Linked DNA regions of Struthio camelus. The protein of the gene in region 2 purifies or fractionates together with the protein of the main gene of each other region. This does not show direct contact. Links are inferred from orthologs where the notes say so. Each region holds a gene or a part of one and is shown on either strand. Other genes may lie near its edges.

What was found. The genes of interacting proteins can lie anywhere in the genome.
Region 1: the proteins of CAPN2 (region 2) and AFG2B purify together in Homo sapiens (co-immunoprecipitation; 3 studies listed by BioGRID and IntAct, with this or other methods). This does not show direct contact. The link is inferred for Struthio camelus from reciprocal best matches to the Homo sapiens genes CAPN2 and AFG2B.

Annotation. Positions count from the first base shown.
Region 1 is NC_090953.1:12,704,729-12,712,348, forward strand, and holds the start of AFG2B (ATPase family gene 2 protein homolog B), read right to left. Parts: upstream 3,001-7,620; 5' UTR 2,728-3,000; coding exon 1,651-2,727; intron 871-1,650; coding exon 685-870; intron 1-684. UniProt on the Homo sapiens protein: ATP-dependent chaperone part of the 55LCC heterohexameric ATPase complex which is chromatin-associated and promotes replisome proteostasis to maintain replication fork progression and genome stability.
Region 2 is NC_090944.1:126,576,083-126,583,886, forward strand, and holds the start of CAPN2 (calpain-2 catalytic subunit), read right to left. Parts: upstream 3,010-7,804; 5' UTR 3,001-3,009; coding exon 2,764-3,000; intron 2,264-2,763; coding exon 2,194-2,263; intron 1-2,193. Other genes in the region: calpain-8, read left to right, coding at 6,390-6,626. UniProt on the Homo sapiens protein: Calcium-regulated non-lysosomal thiol-protease which catalyzes limited proteolysis of substrates involved in cytoskeletal remodeling and signal transduction. Proteolytically cleaves MYOC at 'Arg-226'.

The DNA.
Region 1 (7,620 bases), on a different chromosome or scaffold from region 2:
GCAGATACAGCTTTAAAATTTTTGCTCATCCACGTCACCTTCCACAGACAAAGCAGCACAGCAAACAATCCTCACAATTCTTGTAAAAGTCTCAATAAAGATGGAAAGAATATTAAGAAGCAGCAATTCCCACTGGACATAAGGCAGTTATAACTATATGCCTTGTGTCTGTAACTTCATGTTATATCTAGCCATGCAATCCAAAAGACAAGTTATAATCACTAGCAGTTATAAACATTTATTTTATTTATATATAAATATGTACATGTATATGTACACATGTATACATATATAACACTCTAAACTGTAATTTGCACAGTTATTGTTCAGAAGCAGAATTCTAAATTGCTGATATTTTCAAAAGAGAGCTTTGGTGGACTACTCCAGTTTAGTTTTCCTCAAAAAACAAATAAAAAATATCTCCTTTGCACACTCCTAAAAAGGAGGAGAGACTAAAACCTTTTGTAAAGCTTTTTACTCAGAAAGGACAGAACAGTCCCCTCAGGCGTGAGCTGAAAGTCACTAGCAAAACTGTATATTTACATTTATAACTTGCTTATTTTCAGTATTTTAATTTCTGAGTTCTTCAAGTTGCTGAGCATTTCAAGTAAAAGCAGAGCATTAATGGGAAAAAGGTGGTACATATTAATAATGACATCCTTCTTGATTAATTTGCAGCCTTACCTGAGAGCTCTGTAACACTGCCTGCATAGCAGCTTCTCTGCAGAGCGCTGTAAGGTCAGCTCCAACATACCCAGTTGTCATTTCTGCCAGTTTAACCAAATCAACATCTGCAGAAATTGGCATGCTAGATGTAAGCAACTGCAGGATGGATCCTCTCTGTGTAAGTGTTGGTGTCCCAATAATAACCTAAACCAAATATAATAAAAAAAAAAGTAAGTAGGCATTTTGCTATATTCCTCATTTTATAGACCTAGGCAAGCAACTTTCTCTCTATACTGCTTACTGAAGATTTATACTTCCTTATACTGTGATTAAATAATTTTACAAGAAACTAATTAGCAGTTCTCCAGCACTCTGACATAAAAAACTCTATACAAATGACAAATATTTAAAACACCTTTCATTTACACTTATTTTCCAAGTGGACAGTGTTTGTATAAACAGCTGTTAATATAACACCATCAGCCCCCAGTCTGTAAAGACATGTTTTAAGGTAACTTAAAAATAAGACTTAGCACTGAAATAATACTTGCCTTGCATCATAAGAGCTGAATTAGATGATGATTACATGCATTTAATAAAATGCACTAGGTAAAACAGAAGTCAGAAATAATAGTACCTTTAAGGATGATCCTGTGAATTTGTGCTTGTCTTGCTACAATTCTTAGTCCATAAACTCAAAGATATGAACACACAAAATAAAGTATTTCAATAACTGGAATAAGGAAGCAGATCTTTGAATCCAAAAGAAAAACAATTCGGTAAATGTTCATACATGAAAAAAAAACTTGGAAAAATGCCACCATAGAATACATTTCAACAATTAACAAACCCTCTAAAATGATACTTTTAACTGTGAACGCATTAATAACATTTAAGTAGCCCTTTTCCTCCAAAAGTATAATTATTTTGATTGTACCACCCTCCCCGTGCAAAGGAGGGTGTGAAAAAAACAGGTCTGCTCACCTCTCTGTCAAATCTGCCAGGTCTTCTCAGTGCAGGATCTAAGGCATCAGGCCTGTTTGTTGCTGCCATAACAACCATCTTATCCTTGCTACCTGTGCCATCCAATAATGTTAGCAATTGAGCAACAATACGATCTTCAGGAGCATTGTTTGAACTTCCTCTCTTTGGGCATAAAGAGTCAATTTCATCAATAAAGAGAATGGTTGGTCCTTCACAGGACATTTCTCTGCCCTTTTCAAAAACTTTTCGCAAGTTCTCTTCACTTTCTCCTGGTCTTGAACCATACAGGGCTGGGCCACCGATGCAAAACAGATAGGCACCCACTTCTTTTGCTACTGCCTTTACCAGAAGGGTTTTCCCTACACCTGGAGGGCCTACTAATAGCACTCCATTAGGGACAGAAAGTCCCAGCTTCTTAAAAGTTTTTGGAAAACGGAAAGGTAAGTCAACCATTTCTTTCAGAGACCTTCCCACACCATCTAGTCCTGCAACTGAAATTGTCGCAGTGTCTTCTGATAAATGCCTGTACCATTCTAAAGGAACAACCTCTTTAATTTTTATGCTTGTTTGGGGGGTTACTAGTCCAGCTTCATCTGTCAAAGGGTCTACAGAAAGTATTTCAATATACACCACGGGATTTTCAAGAGCTGGAGCAACTGTAACAGTGTAATGAAGCGAAACATAAATACTTCTTAGCAGTTCTTTGATTATCTCCTGCAACACCCCTCTGGAGGTAGACTTTTTCAGCGCAGAGTTCTTAAGGACTACTTTCACAGTCACTTTTTTTAAGTGATGATATGCCAAAAGCTTCAGCTGGCTGATGTCCAGCGTGAGATTTTTTAGCTCCTTTGCAGTTACGCCTGCCGTTTTGCACGTCAGGTCGACCTGCAGGTAACCGTCTGCCAAATCGTGCCTGGGCCAAGCCGTGCATAAGCAGCAACCGGTGGGCAGGGTGACCCGCAGCGGGGCCCCGATCCTGGCTCCCAGGAAGGAGAGGGCGGCAGGCCCTACCCTGCACCTCTGGGTGCCCTCATCGCCCGTATCCAGCGGGAGCAGCTTTAAGGGCGCGACCTCCATAGCAGGCGTCCGCGGCGCGCTCTGCGGGGACGGGCACGCAACCCTCCTAAGAGGGCCCCGTCCGGCTCACTACTCACCCCCCCCGCCTCGCCCTCCGCCAAGAGCCGGGCCCGCCGCGGCTCCGCGCGCGTAACGGCCCGGCCGGGCCGAGAGAGCGTCCGCTCCCTCCCTCCCTCCTCCGCAACGGCCCCGACGCGCGGACGGCCGCCAGCCGCGCGCCAGCACTCTCGCTGCGCCTCCTGCGCATGCGCTGCCCATGCGCTGCGCTAGAGCACGCGCACTGACCCAGGTCGCCCCGCCCAGCCGGCGCCGGCGCCGGCGCGCGCACTGGCGGGGGGGGCCGCGCGCCGTCGCCTCAGCGGCTGCTGACGCCTTTCACCTCCGTAGAGGTGTCCAACGGCTGCGGCCGTGAGGTGAATCCATCATAGTGACAGGCGGCCTAGCTTTAAGGCCACCTGCCCGCTTTTTATACCTTCCTCCCACTCCACGAAATGGAGTGATCTTCCTCTCGTTGTCACCCGCTTGTTCTCCACAGAGCCGGTCTTCACCAGGCTCGCGTGCTTGCTTCCGTTCGTCTCTTCTCAGCTCGGCCCCCTCATCGAGGTAGTGCTTCTTAAACGTGCTCCCCAGAGTTGAGCATCCTCCTTCCCGTGTCTCCTGTCAGTGTGTCCCTTGACTCGCTAGCACCTTGCTCATGAGCGGTTGGGGTTGGGGCAGCTGTAGCTGCCCGTTAAGAAAAGGAGTTGGGGAGCCACACAGTTATCTTGAGGAGCTGCTCATACAAGTAATCAGGACACAGAAATTTATTCAGCAATGGATAAATCTGTATTAGTGTGCTGCTCCGACAAATCCTTAATCAGTGTTTAGGAAAAGTTAATTTATAACTCTTTGGCCTACAGCCTTCTTAAATTATGCAGTAAATTATGCAGTACTTCTATAATTACCTTTCAGGCAATCTCTCAGCATTGTAGAATACAAGATAAAGTCATGATCTTCGAAATTTTAATGTGTGCATAATTTTATTCTTGTAAGGAGCTTCACTGTGATTGCACTTACACATGTACTTCATACATACAAACTTCATATGAGACCAGATACTTCCCGAAATTGGGATCTCAAATATAAGACACCAGTCAGAATCAATTACAAACACAGACAGAATGTGGCGGTCATGGTTTACAGCCTAAGTAAAAGCAGTCCAGTATGTATTATGAAGACCTCTGGAGGGGAAGCATAGGAAATTTTTTTCATGATATCCCGCTTTATCACTTTCCTTACTGGACCGAGGGCTGTAGCCAAAGTATTTTAGTAAGCCGTACAAACGGAATATGCAATGTGAAAAGAGCTCGTTTAGGACATCAGAAGTGAGCAGTGTGAAAAACAGTAAGCCTTCTTTTTTTGTCTTAATACATGCAAAAGGGCCTATGTTCTGTTTCTTTTCAGTTCCCGAACAAGTTCTCTCCTTTCAGTGTTTATTTTCAGTTCCTTTTTTCCTGGATGTCAACTTAATGATTTTTCACAGCATATTTTACTGCTGCGCGTTGTATGCAAACATTCATGTGGAATATACATACATATTCGGTATTTAGGATGGGACAGAGCGCTGAATGTAAAGGCAGAAGACTGTAAGGACCTTTCATTCCAAGAGGGAGAATGTATTTTCAAGCATATGTCTTTTAAACATATTCTCTTGTTTTTTTTCTTTTCCCTCAAAGATTCTCATACTTAAGCATAAGTGCTCTTGAGTGCGTACTCAGTTAAAGAAAACAACGTATTCTATTTAAAATGGCAGACTGTTTCAGAGAATTCTAAAGTGTAAGAGGTAGATTCTCTGCTTGGTGTTAAAAGGTTGTGCTTAGGAAAAAAAATAAAGAAAAGGGCCTATCTGAAACTGGGCTCTGTGGTCTATATTCGTATATAGTTGTGCTTTCTTGTAACATCTGGAAAATCTGTTTTCTGACAAGAGAGAAACATCTGCAAAACCTAGTCTTGAGTGACAAAGAATTCCAAATAACAATTAGAGTTGTTAACATTACCTGCCATTGGCTTTAGTGAGAGCAAGTTTAGGTCCTCTTACTGATTTTTTTTAATGATGGATGGGATGCTTTGCATGAATCCATTTTTTTCCATTTAAAATTTGTCTCCTCAGTACCGAGAAACACAAAATGTTTAAGTGATAAGAAAATATCCCCCCAACCTGATAAAACAATAATATCTAATTCATAGTACCTTTTCTTTCAGTATATCTTATGGAAGGGTATAACAGTGGAAAATACCCATATTTTTACATATAGGAAAAGTGGGAAACAATTTTGGGCTATTGTTGAAAATTACATGTACAAATCAAGTAATCAGAACATATCTCATCTTCTCCTCTTCACAGAAGACTGTTGTTGTTGTGGCTGAATTATCTAGCAAATAGATTCTGATGTTTTCAAGTTGTATTTCCGTTGATCTTGCCGTTTGATTTGATATTGTGTTGTAACAGTTTGTTTATATTTAGGTTCTGATCTTAGAATGACGTCTGTATGGGTAGCCCACCTTTTTTCCAAAATCTCTTTGAAGTTTTAGATTTGAATTAAGCAACAAATGTCCTACAGAATGTGGTTTACTGTCACTATGTATAATTGTAGCACCTGAAAAAGTTCTCAGACTCCAGAAAAATAAGCGAAGGAAAATAATTTTTGTGATACTATATGTATGCCTACGTAAAAAAGAAAAAAAAAGGTAGGTGGCATCTGAAAGGCTTGGATGTAGTACTTAGAAATGTCTTAGGTGGCTAGTGGAGCAAAGGCTTGGTATAGACATTCAGACAGAATTTTGTGAGGGAATGAGGACTGGCAAAGTTCAGGCCAGCTGTGCAACAGAAGAGTCTGAGAGCAAGAAGTAAGGGAGTAGTGGAATGGAACAGAGAGAAATTTTTTCTAGTTTTGCATCATTTTCTTTTAAGAATTCTGTCTGAGTTACCTCTGCCTCCCTGAACTTTAAACAACTTTGAATTACAATTAAAAAGATCATTAAGTTAAGACTACTGGGAATTTGCAAACTTGAGGTTCTACATTTGTCTTTTTTCTTTTTTCTTTTTTCTTTACATACATACCTGTAATGGAAATCTGATATTATCTATTAATAACATTAGCTATTATGGCCCACTGTTTTATAAGAAAATATGTTTCTAAAATGTTCACATCTGAAGGTAAGTTCTATTGAACTTCTATGACCCTAATGCTTGTTTGCAGGTGAGTGTTTCAGCAGGGGGATGGTCCAACTTTATTATTTTTTCAGCTATTAACAGGGGCAAGCTGGTCTACTTCTGGACAGAATTGTACAAATACAACTAGAAAGTAGCTGAGCAACAGTCTCTAATCCTTCCTGCCTTCTGTAATCATAGTTCCATGATTTGCATAAACTGTCAGAGGGGATTCCACCCTTTATAGGTCTCAATGTCTAATCCCTGTCCTGCCTTTTATTAAGAAAAGCCTGAATATCGCAAAGAAGATGAGCTTGTTTGGTATAGAACTAATTTGTTTTGGTGAATTAGTTACTGGCTGTACCAAATCTTGATCTCATGCATTGCACAGCCATGCGAATACTTACGGCAGTGCAAAGAATGGCTTGAAATAGCGAGCTGGAAGAGGAGGTAAGGCTGTGACCTCTTTTGGTCACAGCTCCACCTTGTGTCAGCTTACATTGATTGTGAAATTATTGATGATGGCTGAGGAGAAAAGCAGTACAAAACCACTAGCCTACTCAGCAGGTAGCTACCAGTAATAATCTCTGAATTCTTCCTGTTTCACGACAACACAAGGTGTTCCCATTAAGTTCCAATTTATGAAACATGCTAGTTTTCCACAAGAAATATTTAATTTGACTCTGCTAATGCACGCTGTTAGTATTTCTAGTTTTATTTTAGTAATCTGTTAGTTAATGTTACTATGTTTAAAAAAATGTATACCAATAACGTATTTGATGTGCAGCATAAAAACGATGATATTGTTGCTTGATGTGCGTGTCTCAGGCAGTGAGTTTTAACTTCAACGCTGTCATTTTTAACTAGAATATATGGTCATGGTACTGAATATTTTACTTTGAGACACTGATATTTCCATTGGTTTTAGTATAATGAGGTAGAGCCCGAAAGTCATTATTAGAACTTCCTGGAAGTGAGCAGGATTGCCTGTGTGGAGCAACCTGTAGGATCAAGACCTTATTTTTATATTTTTCTGGAAAGCAGATTACTGAATGCTCTGCTTTAGAATTAATATCTTCTAATAGTCGCCCCTGAAACATTTACGGACCCCCAAATTAATAGTGATGAACTGACAAAAAGATATTCAGCCAAGAATCTAGTTTAAACTGTCAAAAGAGAGAAATGTTCTAAACAGTTTTCTTATCATTCAGTAGATGGCAGCTGATCTTCAAGAATGGCTGTATTTCTCCTTGCAGATCTATCAATTTCAGGGGAGTAGTCATCAGTTCTTGGAGAAATCAAATATAATACAGCATTGTCTTCACTCCTTTTTGAGAGATGGTTTCTAAAATCAAACTGAACAACCAACACAGTGAGTGTTCAGATCATTTTCAGCTTCATTACCATTTCTGTTCTTTTGTGTTGGGTTTGTTGCTGTATATTGCTGGAGAAGAATATTCCTTTATTCTTTGCTTTCATACTTGGTAGGCCAGGTTTACTTCTTTTTAAGGAGAACATACAATTCTATAAGAAAATTCCAAAGAGGAGGAATAGCATTGCTATTTTTCATTTGGATGTAGCTGTTGATTTTAGGTAGAATAAAATATTGTTCATCATTCTGAATTTGTTATAATTCACAAATTAAAATAACCATGTCTTCTTATGATAATTCTCTCCATCCAAAGTAAACAAGATAAGTAGCT
Region 2 (7,804 bases):
TTAAACAAATGTATCAATTCTAACGCTAGTGTCAAACTAGGCAGCAGCAACAAAATGCATCTGTACAGCACAGCTGTTAGCCTCACTTTGTGAAAAAGGATTCAATACAGGCACTTAGTGACTCAGTGGCTAAACACTAGATAAAAGATCAACAGCATCTAATTTTAGTCGGCAACTGAACTGACACAGAATACCAAAACCCTGCCCAGATTCATAGGAAGATAGCGCAGCTAGTCATAGTCGGTTCTGTCCAAAACTGTGAAACAAACAAGAACACTAACAATTTCCTATTAAAACATTGTTTCAGGTGGTAAAAGAACACAAGTGGTGAGCCAGCTCATATCCTTTGGTGGTAACACGCAACCTCATGAGAGCATCCACACGGACTGGCCCAAACACCTGTCAGGAAACAAATTCTTTTCACCAATATATGAGAAAGCTTGGTAACAGCAAAAACAACTCCACAACTTGAAAGTTAAGTTGCAAATCCTTAACTACGGTACTATTGCTGCCACAACATGCAGACAGAGAAGCTGGAAGCCTAGCGAAGGCAGAAGGCAACTAAGTGCCTTCAGAAACAAGCGTCTCTGCAAAGTGTTTGCTGTTAAAATGACTGAAATTACAACAGACTATAATTTCAAGTTGAACAACTCCTTAGCTGTAAAGTTTCACAATAAAAATGAGGAAAATATCCAGCACAAGTATTAAGTGTTGGATCATGTATTGTGCCAAAACATTTGTCATGGGAGACAAGATACTGGGCAGAGAGAAAACATGTGAAGGAAGCTGACCAACAGAACGCGCCTAGCCCTTTCTTCCGAAAGGGTAACGCAGGCAACGTGCCAAGGACTTCACAACAGATACAACGGAGCCTAATCCACGCCACAGGTGATACTGGGGCATGAGAAGAATTAAATTCACAATCTAAGGTATTTTGATTTCCAGGGCTCTTTTACACCGATTGTGTCTTATTGCTAAAGTACTAACCAGAATAACCTCTGAAAGAACTGTTATAAATGCAAAACGCCTGAAATGAGCCTTCCTACCTGCTATATATTTTGTACGATAAAACACAAATAGCAGCAGCAGGACTAGAAACTAATAAGCAGCAATATCACCAATTTTATGCTGATGGAAAGCAAACAGACCCATGGACTTCACTCTTTTGCCAATTCCACTGAGAAAGCACAACAGTGAAAACGAACAGCATATTAGTCACGCTTCCCTACACAAAGACTGAGAAGTTTCCCCTCAATTGCACTGTCAGTCTAAACTGAAATCCTGAAAGCTTTCTCTGTAGACAGTCATGTAATAAGTACCAGACTCGCTGTTTCCGCCTTAGCTTCTCTCCTCTCCTATGTCTGTATTTCTCCTCTTTGCCTGCCTCCTCGCTCGCTTCGGGGAAGAGAAGCGTACAAATACTCAGCCTCAAACTCCTGGTAGACAAGGCAGGAGAAATGCTCAGAGACAGAAACGATGGCGCACACCGAACCACGTGAGCAAGTCCCTTCTCGCTCCCCTCCGTGGAGCAGCCACCCCTTGGGCTCCCAGGGCTCCTCCGGAGCGACCGGCTCTAGGAACTGCCCTTGCACAAACTTGGTGGTGGGCAGGTCAAAGGCAAATGGCTCGCATGCAGGTACACAAAGGCATGCCCACCCCTCCTGAAAAATACCAGCTTAGTTTTGCTTGCGAGCTGATTAGCACTATGGCATCTCTCTTCATAACTTGTTTACTCTGTATTGCATCATTACGGGTTTCAGGGGATCCTGCCTGCTCCACAGATCTCTGTGCCACTGGGCAAAAAAAGCGCCATGAAACACACACAACTGTTCTCCTAGGCAGATTATTAATAGCAGGAATTAGTCACGCTCCTTGGCATACTGCTGTCAGGCACATGGGTACTGAGGCGAGGAGCGCATGACAGGAGCTGGTCGCGATCAGAAGATGGGCACACGTCACCAGTACTCCTCGCGTACAGCAAGGCTGCATGCAACGGACGAGCAGATGCGGTCCCAGTCTGCAGCTATGAAAGAAAGGCAAGTAAGATCAAATCCGATACAAAGGAAGATGGTAAGGTGCCAGAGGATGTAGCTACAGAGTGAATTATAGCAAAGCGGTAAGCCAGACAGCGCGGGAGCAGGGGACTCCGGCGTCCTGCAGTAGCACTCGCGCAGTGCGTTGTCTCCATCTTACCTAAAGCTCCTTGGCAGATGTCTGTGCGAGTGGCTCCGCCAGCTATGAACTGGGGGTTGGCGCACAGCTCCTGGGGACGAAACAAGCGGTAAGCGTACCGGGCAGACAGCAGAGGGGACAAAGTCCCTATCGCAGGAAATTTAAACCAGCAACTTTTACAGCAGAAGGACGACGCCAGGGAGCCGGTCGGGAACGAGCGTGGGCAGCGAACGGGCTGAGCGCGGTGAGAGAGGGAGCTCGTGGCCAAAGCCCGGTGGGCAAACATCTACCTGCGCAGCACGCGCCAGGCAGCCCGCGCGCGCCGCTCTGCTGCTGCCTCCCTGCCACCGCCGGCGCCCGCCGGAAACTTCTAGACGCCTCGGGGTCCGGGCAGACGTCCGCGTCTCGCTCAGCCCGTCTCGCTGCCGAGGAAACCGGTGAGCCGAAGCGACAGAGCGGAGCGCTGCCCGCGGCCCGCCGACCCCGCCTGAAGCCAAAGACGCGAAAACAGCCCAGAAACCCCTCCGGACGGCGGGCAGGGCCGTTACAGCGGGAGGCGACGGAAGGAGGGACAGCGGTTTCCCGCCCTACCGTGGGTCTGCGCCACACGACGCCCCGCGCCTTGCCGGAGCTCGGCCCCAGCTCCTTGAAGCCCAGGGCGGCGGCGGCGGCGGGGAAGCAGGGGTCCTCGAAGAGCCGCCCGGCCTCCACGCACTCCCGCCGCAGCACCGCGAAGTCCTGGCCCAGGAAGGCGGTGGCGCGGCCGTGGCCGCCCGCGCCGCCCGCCGCCGCCCGCTGCTTCGCCACCGCCGCCGCCATCCCCGCCATGGCCGCGCCGCGCCCGCCCTCACTCCCGCCGCCGTCGCCGCCGCCGCCGCCGCCGCGCCCTGCCCCGGCCCCGCCCCCTCCGCCGAGACCCCGCCCCTCCGAGCCGTTGGCCTCGCCCCGGTCCCCTCCGCACCGCTCCGCCAACCCCGCACCGCCCCTGGCCCCGCCCCCTGCGCCCCTCCGGCCCCGCCCCCATCGTCCCTGGCCACGCCCCTATGCCCCTCCGGCCCCGCCCCTCCGGCCCAGGCCATGGGGGGGGGAGGGGGAGCAGGGGGCGGTGCCCTGCTCGGCTCCCCCTTCCCCCCCCCACCTTTTCCCGGGCAGGTGTCACGAGTGCTGTCAGTGCTCAGCTCCCCCTGCAGCCCCGCCGCCTTCGGCCAGGTACGATCTTAACCTCTGCGCTGAGAGCTCACCCCCGCCCCGTGCCCCACACCCCAGTGATGATAATAATAAAAGTCACAATAAAGTCCTTCCTGACTCCCCCCCCCGCGTCCCCGCCTTACCTACGGAAGAAGGAACTTTTCTGAGCGGTGCGGGCAACACAAATCACTTGCAGCCGGGTTTGCTGGTTGTAGCCGCCGCGCCGCCCCGCTCCCGCGCGGCTTTGGCCGCCGATTCGCCGCCCTGGGCAGGGGAGACGGCGGCCGCCAGGACGGAGTTACCCCAGACGCGCCCCCCCCCGACGCCAGCTGACTTCAGAAAGCCACTTCGCCTTTGTGAAGCTCTTGGCACGCCGCGGCGAGCGCACCGGTTTGCAGCAGGCAGCCGGGACCCAGCCCCTCTTCCCCTCACCCAGCATTTAGGGGGAACGTTTCAACCTCTGGAAAAAACAACCGGACAGGCGGACAGGCGTTGAGGAGCCGCCGCGGTTCCCGCTAGTCTGCCTGCTAACAGCCCCGCCGGTGCCAGGGCTCTGGGGCAGCGCGGCGGGGCAGAGCGGGGCAGCGAGGCCAGGAGGAGGCAAGCTCCTCAAAGGCGGCTCACCCCTTTCCGCAGCGTGGGGTCTGCAGCCGCCCTCCTCCGCGGCGCGGCGCGGCAGCGCAGGGCAGCGCAGGGCAGCGCAGCTCCTGCGCCTCTGCCCCATGCGCTGCAGCGACACGCGTACCACGCACCGCTCGGCGAGCGGCACCTCTCCTCTCCGGAGGGGCCACTTTCGGTTTCGTGCAACCTGCGGATTCCCTTTTACAGCCAAGAGGGTTCAGGAGGAGACCTCAGACGAGAATACGCACATCCCAGGAGCCACGCAAACCCGAACCGGTCTTATACGCGCTCCGCTTGCTCCTTCCCCGTGTGTTCATGCAACTTCGGCAGCAGTTTGCGCTGAGGGCGAGACACGGTCAGCGAAAACCTCAAACCTTCCCCCCCGCCCCAACCCCGTAGCATAACCGTCAGCTCTCAGCGTGGTCAACTTAACAGCCACCGCCTTCTCCTCGTCTGGCTGGAGAGGCACCTCTAGATGGTGCTTTGGTACCGCGCTCCACGCGCGGCGACCCTTCTGCCCTTGCGGCGTGCCAAAGGCCCCTCCAAGCAGCCCGCGGGAAACCACCGATTCCTGCCCGGAATGGCGCTGCCAAGTGCCACAGCGCCTCGCTTTCCGCCAGAGCACCTCGCTTGCCCGTGAATAACGCCGCCGCCGAAGGCTGCCGCTCACAAGGGTCGCCGCAAACCGCAGGCTTGTCTCTCTGGGCTGCGGGAACCCGAGGAGCTTCAGGGCAAGGAGCTGGTGCGGGCAGGGAGAGAAACAAGCGCTCCGCCTTGCGGGTCACAGCAAGTGGGTACTTCTGGATGGGTCTTATTTTTCTGGAAAAAAAAAATCCATTTTGGAAAGAGAACAACCCCCCTCTCCCAACCCTTTATTATTCAACTCTTTGTTCTGATTCAGGACGCAAACACATGCAGAAATATCACAACGTAACAAAGACACAAAATCCTGAGCGTTCCTCTCTTCTGCTCAATTTCAGCAGTAAAATGTCCCTGTTAATTGAATTTTCAGACCGTCGGCCTTGCATTGCCCTCGGCCCAGCCTTCCCTACCTGGGCCCACCTGGAGCAGACCAGGTCATCCTGTTTCCTCTTTTCTATTTATGCTCTTCAAATATTTGCAGACAAGTAAGCTGGCGAGCCTCTGTTTGGACTCCTTATCTCAAAGGGTTTTCTTTCCGTAGCATTTCTCTCTTCCCTTCCCACACCTTCTGTCTAAACTGACAGCAGAAAGACGTAGGGGTCGCACGTACTCTCCATAAGCAAAGCTGCTGTTTACCCCGCTCTCAGTGAGCTTTCCTGGGGAAACCTGACCGCTGAGTCCCAACTCAGCAGAGAGCAGCCGCCGCCTCAGCTCCCAGACCTGCCTGCGGCCACCTTGCCAGGGAGACGTGTAGCTATATACGAGGACAAGACGAGTCACAAGAGCAGGAACCACGAGTTTTAAGGTCCAAAAAGACTTCTGCAGCCAAGGTGCGTTTTCGCCCTGTAAGCGTTTCATATGGAAGAAGCACCACCAAAAGCCTGCGTATGATATGATGGGTAAATTTGCACTGCCTGAGGTAGGAGCCCATTTTTATAGATGGGGGAAAGTACAGCGATTTTTGCCCAAGGCGACGCTGTATACGTTTGGTGGTAGACGGGGAGCAGGGGCTGCCAGCTTGCCTCCCATTTGCTGACATATGCCAACATACAGTTTGCGACATCTGGTCTAGGTTGTGCTGCTGGACTGCATCCAGCCTTGCCCCTGCAGGCCATATGGCCAACTGGCCATCCCTTGCTCTATCAAGTTCACCCTTTTTATTGCTAACCAATTAATTCATGAAATTGTACTAGTTGGAGAGCACCAAAGACCTTTTTTTTTTTTTTTTTAAAAAAAAAAAGATCATTCAAACCAAAAGCTTGTTCCTTGTGCAGTTTGTTCAATATCTCCCTGGCTTTAACGCTGGCTGGCCTCTCCGCAGCCGCCTCCGCTGAAGTCCTGGCGCAGGTTGTGTGGTTGCTCCCGCCTCCCCCAGACCTTGGAAGGAAAGGAGCTTGAAAGCGTTGTCGTGGGGGCTCCTCAACAGCCGGAGCCGCGAGCCTGACTCCCCGCAGGCTGTCGGATCGGTTGCCACTGCGCAAACAGGTGTGGCTGCCGTATCGCTGTTTCGCTTCGCTCCTGGTTAAAAAAAAAAAAAAAAAGGTGTGTTTTAATAAGGGGCAGGGAGTTCTCCAGCTTGTAAGCAAATACCGGGGGGAGCAGCCCAAGCCGGCGCCCACAGCCCCGGCGGTGCCAGCTCCCTGCCCGCCGGACGCGTTCGCCGGCCTCGCGCCTCCTCCCTCCGAGACGGTGGCAGCGCGCAGGGCAGCCCCTCGCTCCACGCCAGGCGGCCGCCAGCCCTCCTTCGCCCCGCGCCAGCAGCCCGTATGGCCGGCGCCGCGGCCAGGCTGTGCAAGGAGCGGGCGGCAGCAGGCGGGCTCGGGTCCCGCGGCAATGCCGTCCGGTACTTAAACCAGGACTACGAGGCCCTGAAGCAGCGGTGCCTGCAGGCCGGTGCGCTCTTTAAGGATGAGGAATTCCCAGCCTGTCCCTCCGCGCTGGGCTACAGGGACCTGGGTCCGTATTCCCCCAAAACCCAGGGGATAATCTGGAAGCGACCCACGGTAAGAGCACTTTCTTTACTGCATGTTTTACTAACCCCAGATCTAATCAAAGCCACCTGGACCTCCATCCTAAGCCAGTGCTGATCCTGAATACCTGCTGTCCCTGTGTGCTTTTTCTTCCCTCTTTCTTCACCTCCCTGGTTGCTAGCTGCAGCAAGGTTGAAAAGGGGAAGATCAGCCGATCCTAAATCCCTCATAAAGCGAGGAAACCTCTTGCTTCATGAGAACCTGCTTCCTTCCTTTCTCTCTAAAGCTTTCCAACCTGGCTCCACGGAGCTAGAAACCTGCACGAGAGTTGCGAGCGGTACGCAGAGGCCCGAGGGGCATCCAGGCAGGGCTGCCCCAGGAGCCGCTCGTCATCGGGTGTAACGCAGTCCCTCCACCACGTCCCTTCCAGCGTGCCTCCAAGGAAACGAGGCTAATGCCTAAAGAAAACCCTTTGCATCACTTCAAGCAGCCTATAGCAATGAAAGAACAACTGACTGGAATTGTTATTACCCAAAATGCCCATATCCTGTAAAGAGCCATTCATTTAAAATAGTCGTTTTCATCAGAAAGGATTAGGTGCTGAGATTTCTTTTTCTAAACCACAAGGTTCAAAAAAAGGTTTCTGGTCTTTCATTTTCCCACTGTTTCTGTCCACACTTCATTCCTCCTTCCTTGTTTTGCCCCTCCCTGGAGTATCAAAAAGAAAGAAATGGAAAAAGGGGGGACGGAAGAAGGAAAAAACCCCACGACAACTTACCTTCAGATGGGGGAGGAAGGAGAAAGCGAGAGAGCAAGAAAATTTCAAGGCCTAGAAACTTTTCCCCCCCGAAAAGTGAGACACTGGAGCTTCCAGCTTCAGGCACCTCCTCGGTGAAGCCCTTCGTCAGTCAGCATTTCACTTTGGTACCTGGGCGCTTCAGCAATGAGTGCTGTGGCGATATTTTTTTGGTTTTGCCGTCCCTGGGAAAACTCGGCCCTTAGACAGCTCCTTAATTTATCCTCCGCCACCCCAGGCAAGGTGGCTTTGTGGCCGCAGCAGACAGGCTCGACGGCAAGTGCAGTGCGGCAGGGCCAGCCGAGGGCTGAGAGCCGGCGCAGGGCACCGGTCCAGCCCTGCCCGCCGCAGGCCAGCCTGCCCAAGACCCCTCCGTGCTCCCTATGAACCACACGGGTTTATCGTCACTTAACCT